Canis lupus familiaris: one gene and its partners. The protein of the gene in region 1 purifies or fractionates together with the protein of each later gene. This does not show direct contact. Links are inferred from orthologs where the notes say so. Each region holds a gene or a part of one and is shown in the gene's direction. Other genes may lie near its edges. The genes, in order: ARHGEF12, GIPC1, VAPA, MYO6 and GNA13.

Region 1 (3,963 bases):
ATCCGAGGCCAAACCCTCTCCCTGCAGGTCCAGGTGCCCGACAGCGTCCTTCGCTTCCAGCCGTCACCGTTCTTTACGAGCTATCAGAAAGTCACGACAAGTACAGCGCATTAAGGAATAAAGGTTTGCAGGGTAAGGGGGCCGGGTAATGCCCGAGGAGCCTCCCGTCCGGGCCCCTGGGGACCGGGGGCCGGGCGAGCGCTCTCCGGCGGCGTCTCCGGGGGCAGCCAGACTCCGGCGCGCAGCTCCCCGCGGGCCCGGGGCCGACGAGCGGCGGGGGGGGGGGGGGGGGTGGGCCTCCGCGCCCGGCCGGCCCCCGCCTCCCTCCGCCCCGCAGAACTACTTTTCCGGCGGAGGCGTCCGCGCGGCCCTGGCGCGCTCCGCAAGGCGCGGGGGAGACGAGGGCGGCGGGCGGCGGGGCGGCCCCGCGCGCCGCGGAGGGATCCCGGGTGAGGCGGCTTCCCGAAGTCAGAGGGGAGGAGGCCAAAAAAAAAAAAAAAAAAAAAAAAAAAAAGAGAGTCGGCGGCGGGGGAGGGGAAGAGCTCGCTCGCGCTGGACGCGGCCGGGGCCGGGAAAGACAGAACCGGAACCGGAACCCGCGCGCGCGCCCGCGGCCGTCGTGCGCCCCCCTCCGCCCCCCCCCGCGGCCTCCTCCGCCCGCCGCGCGCGCTCCCGCGAGAGCTCCGCGACCCCGCGACCCGGCCCCGCGCGCCGAGTGGCCGCCGCCGCCGCCGCCTCAGCCGCCGCCGCCTCCGCCGCCTCAGCCGCCGCCGCCGCTCTCGAGGCCGGACCGGACGGGAACCTCCCGCCCCTCGCGGGAACGGCCGCCTACCGGCGCGTCGGGGAGGAGCCGCCGCCGCCGCCCGCCGCCCGCCGCCCGCCGCCCGCCGCCCGCGCCGACTGCGGAAGAGTCCGGGCCTCCCGGGGATGGGGAGCAGCCCGCGGCGCTGAGACACCGGCTTCCCGTCCCCTCCGGCCGCGGGAGCCCTGCCCCGGAGCCCCAGGCGGCGAGGACGACGGCAGCGGCCCCCGGGCCGGGGGCATGGAGCGGCGCGAGCCCGGCGCAGGGCGGCCCGAGCCGCGGCCGGCGCGGTGGCCACGAGCGGCGGGCAGCCCCAGATAGACGGCCCGCCCGCCGCCGCCCGCCGCCCCGACCTGCTCCCTCTCCCCGACCCCTTCCCGCCGGACGTCCTCGATGACTGCATGGAGTCTTGAGCCGGACTGCGGCGTCGCCTGCGGAGTCGGGCCTGGTCCCAGGGCACGGGGGGTGGGGCGGAGGTGTTCCGTACCATGCAAGTTGGATAGAAGGAGGACCTCTCGCCACGGGCCCCAATGAGCGGCACACAGCCCACTATCACCGACAGGTGGGTACGCGGCGCCCGGCCCGCCCGGCCCGGCGAGCCCACGGCCCCCGACCGCCCCCGACCGCCCCCGACCGCCCTGCCCGGCGCCGCTGACAGGCAGAGCAGGGACGCGCGCCCTGGAGCTCCGCAGTTAGTCTGGGGCTGCTGCCAACTTACCCACTCGATCGAGTTTGGAAATGTAGCTGCTGCTGCTTCTTTTTTTTTTTTTTTTTGGAGAGAAACTTTTCTCCAGATTTGTCCGCGGATGGGGTAGGTGCACGCCACGGTCGCGGCGCTCTCTGGGGCGCGCGTGCACTGGGATCCGGCACTTCTCTTGGAACCCAGGGGAAGGTCATTTGGGGTGAAGGTCAGCGCCCGACCTCGGCCGGGGGTATTGGTGCATCACCTATCGGTCTTCCTCCTGCCCCCCCCCCCCCCCCCCGCCGTGGTCCCCCCAGACGCCGTGTTTAGGTTCTAGGAATTGCCGTCTGTGGACTTCGTCCTGAGACGGCTGCAGGATGATTTTTGAGCTGGCTCTTCTTTGAATATTGAGCTGCGTAGTGTTTATTATCTAATCATTTTCCAGAATGTTGAAATTACTAGTAGATCTCAGGCTCCTGATGGAGCTTAAAAAAAAAAAAAAAACAGGTGGGGGGGGGCGAGGGAGAGTCATGGGGTTTGATTTTAATTGTTGCATTTTTCGTATTTCATCTCCCAGAAGCTTTTGCATTCAAGAGATACAAACCCTAAGCGAATTAGGTAGTTAGAAGCATGGCAGGTGGATGTGCTGAGTTCTGTGAGTCCTTTCTGCTGCTGATCTGTGTTGCCTGGTGGTTGGTGAATTGAGCTCAGGCTATGTGGTTTTAAGTGGAGCTTCTTTACTCTTAGGGGTTATTCTTTGGAATATTGGTTTAAACAGTAAATTCCTTTTACTGTATTTTATTTCTCAATTTCATTATGACCTTGTATCCTGGTTCCAAATTTCAGCCAGTCTTTTTTTTGTTTTTTTTAAGTCCGTATTCAGACTATTACATCATTTAAAAAAAAAAAAAAAAAGATCAAATAACTGAATTAGGGGGGCAAAACAAAGCACTTTGATGAAAAGTGCAACAATAGTGCTCTTGCAGAAAATGTGGAGTTTCCTAATACAGAGTTTCACCCAATGGTCAGACTCATTTGTTGATTTTAAAAGGGCCAAATTCCATTATCATACCATAACAGCTACTCCAGAAACAGAACTTCCTCTTCCTGTTGATGCTTTCCAGTGTCACGTGAATGTTCACCTAAAAGATTCCATTAAATATTTAAACTATATTCGTTGCGTATTTTTTTAAAATTAATTTTAGTTTTCAACTTTTCTGATTGTACCCGTAACAACAAGTAGCAGCAGTGCTTATCTTTAATTTCTTTCGATCATCCCCATCCCTTTTCCTTTCAGGGTGTTTTGCTACTGAGAAATCACGTTGTGTTTTTATTTTCCTGGTTCATTCACTTCTTGGCCTCTGTATGAGCCTTTAGACAAGAAGTCTTATTAGGGACTAATGTAGTATTAGTAGTTTTTACTGTGGTACTAGGGGTGCTTAATTTTGTAGAAACAGAACCAAGGGTCACTAGCTCATTTCACATGAGAACCACTTAATAATAGTGCCCACTTAATAACCTTCCTCTCTGCTTCTCAGAGATTTTTTTCCTTTTTCTATTATCTTGAAATTAAATCTTGGGACTTTTTTTTTTTTTTAATAAGTTAGATGAGATACAGATATACAATAAATATGTAGTCAGTGGATGTCCTTTGCCAGGCCCCGTGCTAAGCACAAAAGATTAAAAGACGAGTATTCTAAGTATAAGATGAATCTGCAAATTGGTTTGGGTATTGATGTCCTTGAATAAGTTCAGGTGTTGGCTGATGTTACATTTTAAAAAAGAAAAACACCTTTAAAAACCACTTAATTTAGAATGCATTGCCAAGACATTGTGGATACCCGTATCTTAGAAATTTGCTACTAGTTTTTTTTTTTTTTAACAAGATTATTCTTAGGTGACTATTACATTTTCTTTAAACACATCTTACTCTGTAGATATCAAGCATCCATTTGCTGGCTAGGAGAGTAGTTGTCCCTGATTTAAATATATGTTGGGGTGAAATCCAGAAGCGCGCCAGTTTAGTGTTATTTTTTTTCCCAGGGTACCTTAACAAAGTTATGGGTACAGAGTAGTTCTTAGCTGCTTCTCTGCTATGTCTACCCCATTCTTGTTTCTCACTGTCTAATTCCAGTGTACTGTAGGTGTATTTTGCTGATTCTAGAGCTATTGGCAAATTAACAGTGCCAGTGTAGCTTTTTAAAGATCCTTTCAAGTTTGAAGTACTGTATGTGGTATGGCTTTGTTTGGTAGAGTGTGCAGACCCACCAGGCCAGCTGTGTGAGTTAGAGTTCTTTCATTGTGGTGCTTCTGACTACAGAGTCTGTCTGTCCTCATTTGAAATCAGACTAGCTGGTTTTGGGCGTTGTTCTGTTTTGCAGTTTGTGGCAGGCGACACATGGCTGAACAAGATAAGAAGGGTTTTATTCTTGTGTTAGGGACGTGCTGGGGCTGGGATGGAATTCAGCTATGTTTAGGC
Region 2 (4,084 bases), on another chromosome or scaffold:
CAATTCCCAGAACACACAGCAAGCTCCTGGTCCAGCCCCAACTGCCCCAGAGGCTGGCTTTGAAGTAGAGCAAGGATAGCTCATCTGTCCTGGGAACTGAGCATCCTGGTCTGTACAAGGTGCATCTGTGTCTTTGTTTCTTGGACCTACCCTTGCCTGAGACATCCCAGTCTCGGGGCCTCACCAAACCTGGTGATGGCGAGGTCACCTGGTCCTCTCATTCACACAAGTGCTCTGAGAGGCTGCTCACTGCCAGTCTCAGGACCCCAGCAGGGGTGAGGGGGCACTTAGATGGAGGAGACAGCCTCATGAAAGGGCAGAGGCTCGGAATGGTTGGGGACCCTTTACAACCTAGCACATATTATGTGTTCAGTAAATATTCACTGATTTAACCAACAAGCGAGCAGTCCATCTCGATCTTGTCTTCCTTCCATGCACCCTTTCACACAGTTTTGCTAGCTCCTAGGATATTGCACTCTCCCAAAATGTGTTGTATCTCTCAGTCCAGCTTTCAGGCCTTCTGCACGAGCTGTTACCTCCACCAGAAGCACATTCAGCTTATTCGCTTTAGTAGCTGCAGACGTAGGACAGAGCCTGGCACGGAGCAGGGGCACATGAAATATTTGACGAGTGAGGGAATGAATGAATGAATGAATAAATGCCCTTGTCCATTGTACACCCCAGGAAGCAGGGACACTCGGGACCCTCCCTATTCATCTCGCTCCTCCGCCCGCTCGCCCGCCCGGAATGAATGCATCCTTTTTATCCGCTCACAGGATGGCCAGGCTGGGGCAGGCGCAGACAGGGAGGAGGACTGGGATCGGGGGCTGCCCTCGGCCCCTTCCTAGGTCTCCTAAAGGGTCAGCTCTTCCGGACGTGGCGAGTTAGCCTCTGCCCGAAACTCGGCCCGCGTCACCTGACTCCCACGACCGGCCCTCCCGCTCCTTACCACCCTGGACACCCCAGACGGACACTCCGCCGGCAGCACGTGGGCCAGGGACCCCAGCTCCCCATTGGTTGCTCGCCTCCTTCCTTCCCCGCGATTGGCAGGGGCCCAGCCTCAGGTCCCCCCTCCGCGCCCTGCGGTGGTACAGCCTGCCGCGGCTTTCGGCAGGGTGGGCAGGTCCACTGCGCCGCGGCGCGGGGGGGCCGGGAGGAGCCGGGCGAGGCGGAGGGATCCCTCTGGAATGCTTCCGTCGGGCCCACCCGGCGCTGGGCGGCGCGGCGCGGATTGGCCACGGGCGTCGGGCGGCCGCTCCTGATTGGCGCGCTGCGGGCGCTGGCCCCGCCCCCCGGCCGCGGCTGCGGGAGAGGCCCGGGCCGGAGTTTGCGGAGGGCCGAGCCCGGAGCGCGCGGGTGGCGGCGGCGGCGGCGCAGGTGAGTGTCCCTGCGGGCGGGGCACGGCCGCTCCGGGGACCCCAGCGCGGGCCCGCGGGGTCGCGGACCCATGGGGATCCGGCGGATCGAGCGAGTAGCGGGGGGACGGCCCCGGGGTCGCTGCTGGAGGTCTAGGTTGGGCCCCAGGATGCCTGAGGCCCCTTCCCCCGGAGGCGCCCATCTTCCCGCCGGGGGCCGGGGTCAAACACCTCCCGCCTCTGAGATGGGGTCGGCAGCCCACCCTGCCCCCTGCACTGCCCTGGACAGCCCCGTCCCGGCGGGCTCGGCATTTCTGAGTCCTGCCCGGGCACCTCCCTCGTCCCACCTTGGCCTCGACGCGGCCCTCCAGGGCCGAGAGAGGGACCTGGAGAGGACTGAGGTCCCGGTAATAATCATGAAAAAATCACCCCCGGCTAGCACTGACTGGACGCTTCCGTGTCAGGTATTTACCATGCACATCGTTGCGTCCAAACACCTCATGGAAGGTGCTGTTACTTCTTTTAGAGGTGAAGCAACAGACCCGGAGAAGTGGAGTGACTTGCCCAAGGTGACACAGCTAGTAAGTGGCAGGGCTGGAACTCGAACCCGTGCTTCGGAGTCCAGAACTGGAGTCTCAGCCGCTAGACTAGATGGCTCCATGGATCAGTGGCCCAGTGGCTCCGTGGCTCAGGTGTTCCCGACCAGCTCCTCTGCCCGCTGCTGCCTGCATCCCCCAACCATGCATGTATCTGGGCCACACCTGCTGGTCTTTGCTTCCCCCCAAGAGGTCCCCGGACACCAACCCTGTCTTGCCTCCCCGGACCTGGGAAGGCTTGCCTGAATACCTAGGTCCTAAGAAGAGAGTGACATCTGCAGGGGACATAGGAGGCCTGGATGCTGGGGTCCTTTGCCCACTGGGCCCCTCTGGAAAGCCTGCGCTGAGGCCCAGGCAGTAGGCGTTCTCCCCGGAAACACCCGGGAGCCGGTTTTTCAAGACTGAATCAGAGGCCTCCCGCCTCCCTGCCTCCCGCCTCCCGCCCTCCCCTCCAAAGCAGTATCCTACTAGAAAGGGGAGGTTGGGTGTGGTGTCTCTCCCCCCACCCAAGCTTTTGTCAACTCCCAGGAACTCCCCTCCCCACTTCCTGCTGCCCTCACTGTGATTCTGCTTGGTGGTGGGGTTGCTAAGTTTCAGGCCCCTCCCAGGGAAGCGAGGGTGGGGATGCTAGGATTCCAGCCAATGCGCTTGGACCCCCGGCTGACACTTTTTCCACCATCCCTATGTTCAGGTTTGAGGGGACACTGGGAATGTGGGGAGGAAGTGTCAGTTAGCAACCCCACAGCAGGCATGTTCTGAGGATAGGAGGGCTCAGAGAGGAGTCTGAATGAGGACACGAGGCACGCACACCCGTCCATTCTGCAAACATTTACTGAGCACCTCCCATGGGCCAAGCACTGTCCTTGGCACAGAGGGCATAATAGCAAACAAGACAAAAATCCCTGCTCTGTGGGAGCCGCCGTCCTAGTGGGGAAAAGGGCAGCAAGCAAGTTAACAAGTAGATAAAGACAGTACCCGCGGATGGTAGTAAGTGCGTGTGCTATGAATAAAATATGAGGGGGGTGGCCGGGTGGAATCTGTGGTAAAGGGGGTGGCTTTTGGAGGAGGCGACTTTGGAGACAAGATCTAAATGACAGAAAGAAGGTGGCCCAGCAAAGGTCAGGCAGGGGGCCCAGCCTGGGCAAAAACTCTGAGGCTGGATGGAGCTTGGGATAGTGTGTGGGGGCACGAGCTGCCGCCAGAGTGGCAGTTCTGCAGGGGCCTGTGGCTCATATTAAGGAGTTTGGGGCTTTTCCTCTGTAAAGGTAGGAGACCGCTGTAAGATTGGAAGCCGGGGAGTGACGTGATCTGGTTTACATTTTAAAATAGAGACACGAAGTGAAATAGCAGCCTGGGACTGAAAGACAAGAGTTCTGCCGGGATAATGTGTAATTAAGTTCATGGGCCTTGAGCTGTCTGGACCACAGGGGCAGTTCCAGCAGGCTGGGGCAAGCCAGGGAGGCTGCCTGGAGGAGGCCACCTAGACTAGGCCTCCGCGGACAGCAGACAGCAGAAGCACAGACTGGGATGTTCCTGGGCGGTGGGGGGGGGGGGGGTGGGGTGGGCAGGGGAGGAGGCCATAATAATAATGACAATACTAGTAACAGTTTTCTTAAATTGAATGTCAGGCAAAATGCTAATCGGGTTGTCTGCACAATCTCTTTGGATTCCCATAAGCACCTGGAGAGAGACAGGAATTCCACCCATTTTTCGACTGAGAAAACTGAGGCTCCATCACATGAAGTGACACTTGCCCACGACCACGCAGCTGGTAAGTGGCAAGGATGGGATTTGAACCCAGGCCACCCTCCTTGGAGCTCAGAGAAGTTAAGATACTTGCCCAAGGTCACACAGCTAATAAGTGGAGAAACCAGGTTCCAGACTCATGTTCTCAGCATCCCGCTAAGATGTATGAGGGGCAGCAGGAGGAGAACAGGGGAGGTGATGATGAGGGGTTTGGTTTGGTTTGGTTTGAAGCATCACTGAGTGTGTTGTAATAATCTGAGGGGGCAGTATGGGTTTATTCATTCAGAATTTGTTTTTTATCAGATATTAGGTGAATGCTTAGTGTGATGTGTGCTATGGTTAGATGAAGTAATCAATAAAAGACTAGTATCCCAAATATGTAAACAA
Region 3 (3,513 bases), on another chromosome or scaffold:
GCTACTCATCAAATGTCTAAAAAGAGTGAGCTGTTTAAGTAATTTTACTTAGACAAAGAGTATTTAATGAAATATTGTGTCACTTAAAATGATGAAAAGATGTACATATAAATAAAGATAAAAGTGTTACAGTGTATGCTGGTTTTATAAAATGTGTATAGGAGAAAATACTGAAAGATAATACATAAATAATAGTTGGGTTGCATTGATGAGATTAGTAGTTTCCTCTCCCTCCCTCTCATAATTATAGATTTTCTGGAATTTCAAGAATTAATTTAAAAATAAAAACCCAGTTGTGAAGAGTTTGATGATTCCTCACTTTAATTTTTTTCTCTTCACTTGTTGGCTTCATGTATCTCTTCTTAATTTTTTAGTCAACTCTCTTGTATATTTTTTTCCCAATTCTTTTTTTTTTTTTTTTATTCATCTGCATATTCATGCAGAGACAGAGAGAGAGAGAGAGGCAGAGACACAAGCAGAGGGAGAAGCAGGCTCCACGCAGAGAGCCTGACATGGGACTCGATCCAGGGTCTCCAGGATCACACCCTGGGCTGCAGGCGGCACTAAACCGCTGTGCCACTGGGGCTGCCCTTTTTCCCAATTCTTAATCAGAACCTGAAGATTCCTTAGTTGCCAAATTGTTGACTGTTGCTTTCATCTTTATAGAGGAAGGCAGTGAGCTGCTTTTTTTTTCTCAATTTGGACTTCTTCTAGGTTAGAATTGGAGCACACTTGAAAAATCATTTTGAAATGAATTTTAATTACTGTTAAGAGGAGGATTAAGAAATATTATTGGTGGAGAGCAATATATATCTGGAATAGATTTTTACTAATAGAGATGGACTTGGTCGGGACAGGGGAAGATAAGGTGAAGAAGAAGAAAGCTAGCAAGAGGGGGAAACTCTTTTTGTATTGTAAAAGAGGATGAAATCGGAAGTAGGTTTCTTAAAAACCCTTCATTCACAGCTGAGAAGCTTCTGAAGAAAAATGGAAAAATCTGCATGTTAACAGTCAAATACATAGTGTACATTAGAACCTTACTATAACATTATTGGTTTTCCATGAGTGTAGGCATATTAACATATGGTTTTACATGAGTTTAGGCATAGTGATCAAATCACATTCCCTTCATAAGAAATAATAGTTTGCCCCTTGAACTAATACAAACTTAATATAAATTTGGGACTTGGGATGGTGTGGTAGATGTGTAATCAATCTATAATTCAATCTTATTATTGAGTATTGTGGAATTTCATAAAGTTGATTTTGGAAATGTTTTTGTTAGAAGTTATATCTGAATAAGGCACTTTTAAAAAACATCTGACATTAGATTTCTAGCAAGTAAAATTTTAGTTAAAAAGATGACTTGTTGCACTAAACTGTAATGGTGTATGTGATAGTATAGATGACATTAGGGTAAAGGATATTGAAGAACTTTAGACCACAGGCCCTGGGACACTTAGACACTGCTCTAGATATTTGTCTATATTGGATGAGTGTTGGTAAGAATCACAGTTTTAGAGCTTATAGTTTTAAACGTGTCTTAAGTACTACTATGATTCCATATTGAATTTCATTAATTAAAGTGTACAGTGTCAGTAATAATTTGAAAGAATTAATTTATGTTTGAGTTTAAGAGCATGGGATTAACTCCCTTCTCTTTTTTTTAAACCATGATATAGTTTGTGTTCATTATCTTCCCTTCTGTGTTTATATCCTTGTTATTTTTTCCCACTAATAGAAGTTAGGTTTTCTTTAAGTGTTTTTCTTAGGTGGTCTCCTTATTTCATTGGAATTATTATGATAATATCACCCCTACCCTTCAGAATCTCATTTGAATTGCAGAATCAGAGTACCGAAAATGACCTTCATATTTGGATTTTGGTTGGCGTCAGTCATTCAGCATACTTACATTGAATAACTACTCTTGGCCAAAGTGCTGGGTTTAGGGGTAAATACAAAAAGAAATGACTCTTGCTCTCCCAGTCTTTGAAGTATTATAGGAAAGAACATCAAAAATACGTTATTATGATATATGATAAGTGCTGTGGTGGAGGTAAGTGTGAAGGGTTTTGGGAGTAGAGGAGGGAGTGGGCTGCTTATTTTGACTTCTGTTACTGCTGACCTTTATTCATTTAGTCCTAAAATTGTTCATGAATGACTGTAACCTTTGGTATTTTAAAAAATTCTGATTAACTAAATCACAACCTTAAAAATTTCCATTTAAGTGATTTTTTTTTTTTTGGAAAAGGTATGGAGTTTCAATTTGCATTTGTTAAAAATCTGTAAGGAGTTTTGGTCAGTTAAAAAAGTGTCACTATCTTTATAATACAGAATGATCTGGAACCTAGCAAAACTGTTCCACTGAATGCCTCTAAGCAAGATGGACCCATGCCAAAACCACATAGTGTTTCACTCAACGATACTGAAACAAGGAAACTCATGGAAGAATGTAAAAGACTTCAGGGAGAAATGATGAAACTATCAGAAGAAAACCGACATCTGAGAGTAAGTTGTTTTTGAAAATAAGTTAATTTAAATGAAAGCTTAGGATATGTGAATATTATTAGGCCACGTTATCCATCAGTTTTTAAATTTATCCTTGGTCAGTTCTTTCTCTTTTTCCCCAATTTGATTATGTCTTAGCCTTTGCTCCCCACTCTTGCCTCTTTTCATAGTTTTACCAAGGCTTCTCATTGCTTGCAAGTTCCTTTCCTAGTAGGTGCCCTAGTTATTTGTGATCTGGCCTGTGGCATTGCTGGCTTCCTCTCTTGTTTGTAACATCCTTCACATTTGATGCCCTGGTCATATGAATTGCTTGAAATGGTGCTGTCCCGTATATAGTAGGGATGTATGTGGCTGTTGAGCACTTGCAATGTGGTTAGTTTGAAGTGAGATGTGTTGTGAGTATGATAACTCATTGATTTCTTAGACTTAGTACCAAAAAAAAAATCTTTTTTTTTGTATTGTTACATACTGAAGTAATATTTTGGTTATATTGGATTGAGTTTTATTATTAAAATTAATTTTATTATTTTCTTTTTACCGTCTTAATGTGCTATTAGAAATTTAAAAGTATGTAGGTGGCTCACATTTGAAGCTTATATTTATATTGGACAGTGTTGGACTACAGTACCCTGAAGATGCCTCTCTGTCAGTGATCTCTTTTTTACTTTAGCTTGAATTCCTTCTTCTGATTGGATCACCCTGAAATCACATTCCTACCCTTAAAAGCACATTCACGCATGCATGGTTCTCTTTTGGTACTTGGTTCTTGTCATCTTTTCAGTATAACTTTTTCTAGGAATCTCTCCTCCCAGAAGCAAAGAAGTATGGTTTTGGAATGCTATCTCCTTTGTTTCCATGAAACCTTCGTCATCTCACTGTACCTGTTTGTTAAAGGTTTTTCTCCCTCCAGTGGGCGCTAGCTCTTTGGGAGCAAGGACCTGTGTTCATTCATCTTTGCATTCATAGCACATGCATATAGTAGTCATTCATATATTCGAATGAATA
Region 4 (4,106 bases), on another chromosome or scaffold:
TGTAAAGGCGACGTATGTTTTCATCATATAATTCAATTTTGCATAGCCACTTCATATTTAATTTTCAAAGAGGATTTACAGGTATGTCACTTATAAAAACAGTAAAAGAGAAGATCGGGTTCTAGTCAGTAAATGGGGATTCGGGGGCCGGAGGAATACAAAATTTCCATCTCAGACCCTCTGCCACCCAAAGCAGAGAGCAAGACTGCTCCTGTCGCGGCGCAGCCCAGCTCAGCGCAGCCCAGCTCAGCCCAGCGTAGGCCAGCGCCTCCCAGCCCAGCTCAGCCCACCCCAGCGCAGCCCAGCGTAGCCCAGCCCAGCGCAGCCCAGAGCAGCCCAGCTCAGCGGAGCGCAGCCCAGCATAGCCCAGCCCAGCGCCTCCCAGCTCAGCGCAGCCCAGCTCAGCCCACACCAGCGCAGCCCAGCGTAGCCCAGCCCAGCGCAGCCCAGAGCAGCCCAGCTCAGCGGAGCGCAGCCCAGCATAGCCCAGCCCAGCGCCTCCCAGCTCAGCGCAGCCCAGCTCAGCCCACACCAGCGCAGCCCAGCTCAGCCCACCCCAGCCCAGCGTAGCCCAGCCCAGCGCAGCCCAGCGCAGCTCAGTGCCCAGCACAGCCCAGCACAGCCCAGCGCCCAGCACACACCAGCGCATCCCAGTACAGCCCAGCGCCTCGCAGCCCAGCTCAGCCCAGCACAGCCCAGCGCAGCCCAGCGCCCAGCACACCCCAGCGCATCCCAGTGCAGCCCACCCCAGCCCAGCGTAGCTCAGCCCAGCGTAGCTCAGCCCAGCCCAGCCCAGCGCAGCCCAAGCCGACCCGGACCGGAGCCTAGTTAGCAGCGGTTCTTCCCTCCGCAACAACGCCCTCGAGTAAAGCGCGTGGTCCTGGCCGCGTCTGAACACCTTTCTCCCTCCGTGAACTGGTTCTTGCTGTTGCCGGACTCCACGGTCTCCGCACCCGGGCTGGAGACAACCGCGGCGAGGAAGGCCGTGCCGCAGGGGGAGGAACGAGGCTGCCGGCCGGGCCCGCCGCGGCCCCTTCCCGCGCTCCAGCGCGCCCACCTCCGCCCGGGAGGCTGCGCGCCGCGGGGCGGGGGCGGGGGCGGGGGCGAGCGGCGCGGCGGGGCGGGGCGGGGCGGGGCGGGGCGGGGGGCTGCGGGCGCCCAGCGCCCCCTCGGGGAGCGCGCGCCTGCGCCCCCCGTGCCCGGCCGCCCCGGCCCGCCCCGCCCCGGCCCGCCCCGCCCCGGCCCGCGGCGCCCCCGCCCCCTTGGGCGCTCCGTAGCCGTGACGTGCGCGCGCCGGGGCCGGGGACTCGGCGGGGCGCCGGCCGGCGGGCGGAGACGGCCCCGGGATCTGTCCGAGCAGGAAGCTCGCAGGACCGCGGTCGCCGCCGCCGCCGCCGCCGCGTCTCCGAGCCTGTCCACGCAGTCGCCCTTCGCGCTCGACTTGGTTACCTTTCACCCCGCCCTCCACCTCGCCGGCCACAGGTAGCCTCGCCTCCGCGCACCTGCGCTCGCGGCCACCCCGGTGAGTGGCGCGGGGCCGCTCCTCGGGGCGTCGGCGTCGGCGTCGGCGTCCGGGCCTCGCGTCCCCGGGCCGCGCTGCTTCGGGCCTCCGCCGCCGGGGCTGACGGCCGGGTCTCCGCCCGGGATGCGCGCGGTGAGGCAGGTGCCGGCTGGGCCCGGCCGGCGGCTCACGGCGGTGCGGGGCTGGTTCTGGTTTTCACGGGTCTGTCGTCAGCAGGCTACCTGTGGGTCCCTTCCCTGCCCCCGGGTAGCAGAGCACTCCGGTGCCCCACCCGGACGTGGACGCCCCGTGGTAGTTCTTTCTCTTGAGTAAACAAGCTTGAAATCCAGCGCAGGAACAGTGCCGCCTGCTCGGAGATACCTTCGTATCAGGTGCCGGCCACTGTCGAATTGATAGTCTAGTCATGTAGAAGACCGGGTGGGACCGTCTGAACGGGATAATTTTAGTCCTTAGGTGGTCCAGTACTTTGAGTATGTTAATGGACATTTGTGCTACCGAACAAGAGCTTTTTATATTTGTTAATTTCCAAAAACTCCTTAAAACCATTCAGATGCTCCAACCCCGGGATGTTTTTTTTTAAGATTTTACTTATTTATTCATGAGAGAGAGAGACAGAGAGAGAGAGAGAGAGGCAGAGGGAGAAGCAGGCTCCACGCCGGGAGCCCGATGCGGGACTCGATCCCGGGACTCGATCCGGGCCGAAGGCAGGCGCTAAACCGCTGAGCCACCCAGGGATCCCCAACCCCGGGATTTTAAGTAGGAAGTAATTTGGTAGGGTTATTACTGGCACATCCGTGTCGGAAATACTATTTCTGTAGTGTTTAAGGAGACAGGTTACGTTTTATGGGGCATAAAGTTGTAGTGGAGGAATGTATGCATCCTAATCTACAGATACTAGTGAGCAGCTAGGAGCACTGCCGCAACTTCACAGATTGCTGTACGTGCTAAATAAAAGTTTCATTTGCTGTTATGCTCTGGTGGTGTAGATGCAAAGTATCTGAGTATCGTCAGGGTGTGAAAGTTTTAAAAATTCTTAAGGTTTAGTTGAAACTCTTCACACCATGAAATGTGAATCTTGAACTTGGGCTGGAATGGTCATGGTGCAAAGGTTGGCAGGAAAACAGCATATCTGTACAAATTAACTAAACTTCATAGATACCTTGGGTTGTGGTTTTATATTTGGAAATTGCTTCGTGAAAAAATTACCTTGGTATTTTTTATCATTAATTTTAGAAACATTACACATTGGGCTATAGCCAGAGCTTGAAACAATGCAGCCATTCAAAGTAACTCATTGACTTTTAAATATACAGCTCATGTTGAGTATTTTAAATTGCGCAGGAATTATACACACAGTGGTAAACAAGTCATTTTAGTCTTAGGCAGATTTGCCTATTGCGTTTGTGTGTTCTATGTGACATTGTTCTCCCAGTTTGAGTTACCTTTTCGTTTTCAAAAGGTAATTTTAAAAAGAAGTAAAAGAACTTTAGAAAGAGATTACAGGATTAAAAACTCTAAATACATATTATGTAAAACTGTAATACACGTATTCTTCATTAGTCCAGAAGCATGAACAAGAAAAGTGTAATGCATTATTGTAATATTTAATGTAAATTAATATGATGTATTAAGAACAGATCATAAGTCATAACCCATGGCGCTTATCTGAAGTGGATTTTTTCCCTCTGTTTATGTTTATGTGATCAAGTTTTAAAATAACAGTGGCCAGGAAATCTGAGAGAGGCTGAAGGCTCTTTTCTCATCCTGTTGTGACTTTGCCTGGAGACTGTGGTGTATCATGTAGCCCATTGTTTAGATAACTGGGCTGTCTCTGGGTTCTAAAGTACAGCTCTTTTAAGAAAGTTTTAAATTTTTTTGCTTTGTGAGGTTTGGATAAATCTAAGCACCCAAAACATTTTTTAGAAAATTAACCAGTTTTCACTGTTGATAATTGAAGCTTCATTTTGATATTTAAAAATGTCAGTTTTAAAAAGATTTCTGACCTCTGTGAAATTTTCATGTTTGTATATGAAAACATTTTCAGTAAAAGACTAAAAATGGTATTACTGCTTTGCTAACTCTCATACAGTTTGTGATCCCTTTAATGATGTACTTCATAATAATTCTGAACTGGCCCTCATTTTTTAAAATTAATGAATTAATTAAAAAAAGATTTTTATTTATTTATTTGAGAGAAAATGAGAGAGCAAGCACACAAGGGGCAGAGAGAGACGGAGAAGCAGATTCCCAGATGCGGGGGCTCTATCCCAGAAACTTGGGATCATGACCTGAGCCAAAGGCAGACACTTACCCAACTGAGCCATCCGGGTGCCCCTGAACTGGCCCTTTGGTAGTATAAGATCATCACCCACCCACTGGATGGAATTGGTATAATTCCTATACCATATAGGAATCTGGTATAATCAGAACACTGAGAGATTTAATCTACAAAATAATTTTCAAGGTTGGTGGTCTTGTCCTTTTACACATGAGGAAATTTAAGCTTAGAGAATTAAATATTTGCTCAAGGTCTTACAGCTCCAGAGGAACAAAGTCTGGATTCACACCTAAGTCTTCTGACCAC
Region 5 (3,513 bases), on another chromosome or scaffold:
GAGTGACCATTGTGGGAGTTTTTAGTCGTGGAGGTAGGGCACAGGAAAGGGGTGTTTAGAAAGAGCTAGAGAGAGGTAGCCAGAACTGTGCGCCGGGAGGTGGCCTTCACGAATTGGCGCTTCAGCCCTCCTTGCTTTTCACAGAGAGATAAGAAGCAGGTTGGAGGAATGAGTAGGAAGCCCTGGGTCACTCTGGCCGGAGCAGAGGGTGGGTCAGTGAGGAGTAATATTAGGGGTAGAGACACGACAGTAGGCAGGACAATGGGACACCCGAGAGTTAAGACTTCAGTCTGAAGATACTGCAGGAGTGGAAAACATAGAATTTTGAACGAGTCTTCGTACCCCAACATTTTAATGTATCTTTGCATTTTGTAATGAGAATAATAGTGTACTGATGCTTTAATGCAGCCAGAAGTTATTAAAAAGATAAGTTGGTGTGGCGCCTGGGTGTCTCAGTCAGCTTAGCATCTGACTTCTGCTCAGGTCATGATCTCTGATCTCAGGGTCCTGGGGTCAGGCCCCGCATCCCTGGCCCTCCGCTCAGCAGGGAGTCTGCTTGTCCCTCGGCCCCTCCCTTTGCTCATGCCCACACATGTGTGTGTGCTCTCTCTTTCTCATGAATAAATTTTTAAAATATTTTTTAAAAAATTAAAGATAAGCTATTTGCATATCCAGTCATTCAACCAGTTAGTAGTTCATCGGAAACGTTAATTACTTCTGGGTTACTGAGTGTAAAGCAGTTTTTTTCTTTTCCAGGATTACATTCCATCGCAACAAGATATTCTGCTTGCCAGAAGACCCACCAAAGGCATTCATGAGTATGACTTTGAAATTAAAAATGTTCCTTTCAAAATGGTTGATGTGGGTGGTCAAAGATCAGAGAGAAAACGATGGTTTGAATGCTTCGACAGCGTGACATCAATACTTTTCCTTGTTTCCTCAAGTGAATTTGACCAGGTGCTTATGGAAGACCGACTGACCAATCGCCTTACAGAATCTCTGAACATTTTTGAAACAATCGTCAATAACCGGGTTTTCAGCAATGTCTCCATAATTCTCTTCTTAAACAAGACAGATTTGCTTGAGGAGAAAGTGCAAATTGTGAGCATCAAAGACTATTTCTTAGAATTTGAAGGGGATCCCCACTGCTTAAGAGACGTCCAAAAATTCCTGGTGGAATGTTTCCGGAACAAACGCCGGGACCAGCAGCAGAAGCCCTTGTACCACCACTTCACCACTGCCATCAACACAGAGAATATCCGCCTCGTGTTCCGTGACGTGAAGGACACCATTCTTCACGACAACCTCAAGCAGCTCATGCTACAGTGATGGACAGAAGACTGGCCATTTTAATCCCTTTTGTCCTCTTGATTGTGTTCTGTTTGTTTTGTTTTTGGAAATAGCAGTTTACAACAGGAATGAGAAAAATCTTGATTCTAAGTTTAGCTTCTTGGAAATCTTAGTCCTCCTCCTGCAGACTTTGGTTTGTGGCTGGCTGAAAGCTGCTGAGTAACAATCGCTGATACCTGTCGATGTTCAGTCTTTGATCTGTTTCACTGTGGCTTCCCTTTGAGGGGGTTCTAGTTTCCTGCCAAGCCTCTGACTAGATAGAGTTCAGGCTTTAGCTTTTTCCACTTCTCAAACTGAATTCTGTAGTGCCAAGTATGGAAGGTGTCTTCGAATCTTTCTTGGTATGAGGTTAAGAATATTCGGTTCTGACACAAGCAAGGTCCCTTTTTTCTGTCCTGTGCACGGCAGCGACACTTGTGCCTCGCTTTACGGTGACCTGTTTTGAAAGGGCTATTGGAAAAAAAGTTTGATCTAAGGACTGGCATTCTGTAGCTTTACACAGATTTAGCCTTCGTGTTTTTTTTAATTGCTTATATAGCGACAGTTGTTTAGTTTTAAAATTTCTGTGGTTTCTGAAGGTAATGTTCTTAGTGTTTTAAAGTTTACATAAGGATTCCTGGTCTGATGCTAATGGAAGTTCACAAATGGTACGGGGCTGAGGGAGGGGAGCAAGAGGGAGCCAATGCCGTACAGAGTGTTTTGATGCAAAGTAATGAGTGAAATATAGTGTGCCCTTTTCATATTTAAATATCATATAATAAATGTGCCATATGTGAAACATTCTGGCCATAGCAGCAGCTATAAAAATTGCAAGTAACTTGATAACAGAGCTTTCTAAATAAACATACTGTTTCCAGGATGTTACGTGCTTTATGCTCAGACTTGTATGTCCTGTCTTGGAAGATTCGGGTCCTCACTGCAGAGAATCACTGTTGTACCATCACAGAACATCTTTCTTTTGCTCTCCTGTTTATTCCCATCAACTCCAACTGTGGCATATATGGGAGTTTTTATTTGGAGCTTGCCAAGGTCAATGTTTTCCTGTCAGATGACTCAAGAAGGCATTGTTTGAGATTTGTGTTCATTCTTGGTGTGTCTCTAAAACATACACCTACATGTTCATATCATTATTGCTTATGAAATTCTAGCTTTATTGAGGTACATTTTGAATGTTTTGGGGATACTTCTAAGAATAAGCAGTAATTTTTTTAGGTCACACCGAAATATGATTGCATTTGACCTCACCACGTATGAAATGAAAGTATACCCTTGCAGCAGCTTTGTGATCTCAGATGTGGTCATGGTGAACTCATCAGAGGGGACTGGTTTGCAGTACTGAAAATACTGCCTTGTAGGTTGTGTGTGGTGTTAGACCAGGGCTAGAGAGGCAAATGCCCAAGGCTGGTGACAGTTTGGAAAATCTGACAGCTTTTCTCCTTTTCCTGAAAATTGTGATTAAGACTGTGATACCTGTCACTTTACTGTAGAGCTGTGTTCTCAGGTATTCTGTTGGCTAGAAAGTCCTTGAAAGATTGGTCAACATTATGGATCATGCAGCCTTTCCAAGATGGTGGCTCTTGGTGGGTCTGCAGTCTAGTGTGACAGTAGGACTTTAAAGTGAGCTAACCAGGGATTGTTCGTAACTGTTCTTGACTTTTCTTGCATTTGAAATTCCACCATCATTTTATCCATAGTAACTTTCAGTGTTTTCATGCCTTGGTCATACACGAGCTACAGACACGTAGCCCTGCATCATAATTCAAGTCTTCATAGTATACAGTTCGTGCATGTTTGAATAGTTCTACATCCAGTGCTTCTTGCCAAAAAGAATATAGTGTTTAAATTCACAGAATTAGAATAACTTCAGTGCTAGTGAATGTCTGAATATGCGCACAGTAACATTGGGACTTTTTGCTGGAGAGTCTTTGTGTAAATTTCGCAAATAGTTTAGTTGAATGGCCCAAACCATTGAACTTCAGTGAAGGCTAAAGTAAGTTCCCTGTACAAAGAGCAAACTTGGTCTTATTTAAATTATATTTAAGATCTGTGATATGAACCATAAATCTTGCCTGACAAAGCAGCAATCACCAAGACTACCACCAAGAAATGTTACAACACCAAATAGATATGGTATGATTTTGGGTATTTGCAACTTTCTTAACT

Evidence for each region.
Region 2: the proteins of ARHGEF12 (region 1) and GIPC1 purify together in Homo sapiens (co-immunoprecipitation; 4 studies listed by BioGRID and IntAct, with this or other methods). This does not show direct contact. The link is inferred for Canis lupus familiaris from reciprocal best matches to the Homo sapiens genes ARHGEF12 and GIPC1.
Region 3: the proteins of ARHGEF12 (region 1) and VAPA purify together in Homo sapiens (affinity purification with mass spectrometry; 5 studies listed by BioGRID and IntAct, counting the BioPlex papers as one, with this or other methods). This does not show direct contact. The link is inferred for Canis lupus familiaris from reciprocal best matches to the Homo sapiens genes ARHGEF12 and VAPA.
Region 4: the proteins of ARHGEF12 (region 1) and MYO6 purify together in Homo sapiens (affinity purification with mass spectrometry; 4 studies listed by BioGRID and IntAct, counting the BioPlex papers as one, with this or other methods). This does not show direct contact. The link is inferred for Canis lupus familiaris from reciprocal best matches to the Homo sapiens genes ARHGEF12 and MYO6.
Region 5: the proteins of ARHGEF12 (region 1) and GNA13 purify together in Homo sapiens (affinity purification with western blotting; 3 studies listed by BioGRID). This does not show direct contact. The link is inferred for Canis lupus familiaris from reciprocal best matches to the Homo sapiens genes ARHGEF12 and GNA13.

The regions. Positions count from the first base shown.
Region 1 is NC_049226.1:13,691,372-13,695,334, reverse strand, and holds the start of ARHGEF12 (rho guanine nucleotide exchange factor 12), read left to right. Parts: upstream 1-1,151; 5' UTR 1,152-1,332; coding exon 1,333-1,364; intron 1,365-3,963. UniProt on the Homo sapiens protein: May play a role in the regulation of RhoA GTPase by guanine nucleotide-binding alpha-12 (GNA12) and alpha-13 (GNA13). Acts as guanine nucleotide exchange factor (GEF) for RhoA GTPase and may act as GTPase-activating protein (GAP) for GNA12 and GNA13.
Region 2 is NC_049241.1:48,542,849-48,546,932, forward strand, and holds the start of GIPC1 (PDZ domain-containing protein GIPC1), read left to right. Parts: upstream 1-1,283; 5' UTR 1,284-1,377; intron 1,378-1,881; 5' UTR 1,882-1,936; intron 1,937-3,579; exon of another isoform or gene 3,580-3,628; 5' UTR 3,629-3,722; intron 3,723-4,084. UniProt on the Homo sapiens protein: May be involved in G protein-linked signaling.
Region 3 is NC_049228.1:75,968,974-75,972,486, forward strand, and holds part of VAPA (vesicle-associated membrane protein-associated protein A), read left to right. Parts: intron 1-2,334; coding exon 2,335-2,508; intron 2,509-3,513. UniProt on the Homo sapiens protein: Endoplasmic reticulum (ER)-anchored protein that mediates the formation of contact sites between the ER and endosomes via interaction with FFAT motif-containing proteins such as STARD3 or WDR44.
Region 4 is NC_049233.1:37,584,703-37,588,808, forward strand, and holds the start of MYO6 (unconventional myosin-VI), read left to right. Parts: upstream 1-1,304; 5' UTR 1,305-1,482; exon of another isoform or gene 1,483-1,522; intron 1,523-4,106. UniProt on the Homo sapiens protein: Myosins are actin-based motor molecules with ATPase activity. Unconventional myosins serve in intracellular movements. Myosin 6 is a reverse-direction motor protein that moves towards the minus-end of actin filaments.
Region 5 is NC_049230.1:11,956,284-11,959,796, reverse strand, and holds part of GNA13 (guanine nucleotide-binding protein subunit alpha-13), read left to right. Parts: intron 1-756; coding exon 757-1,329; 3' UTR 1,330-3,513. UniProt on the Homo sapiens protein: Guanine nucleotide-binding proteins (G proteins) are involved as modulators or transducers in various transmembrane signaling systems.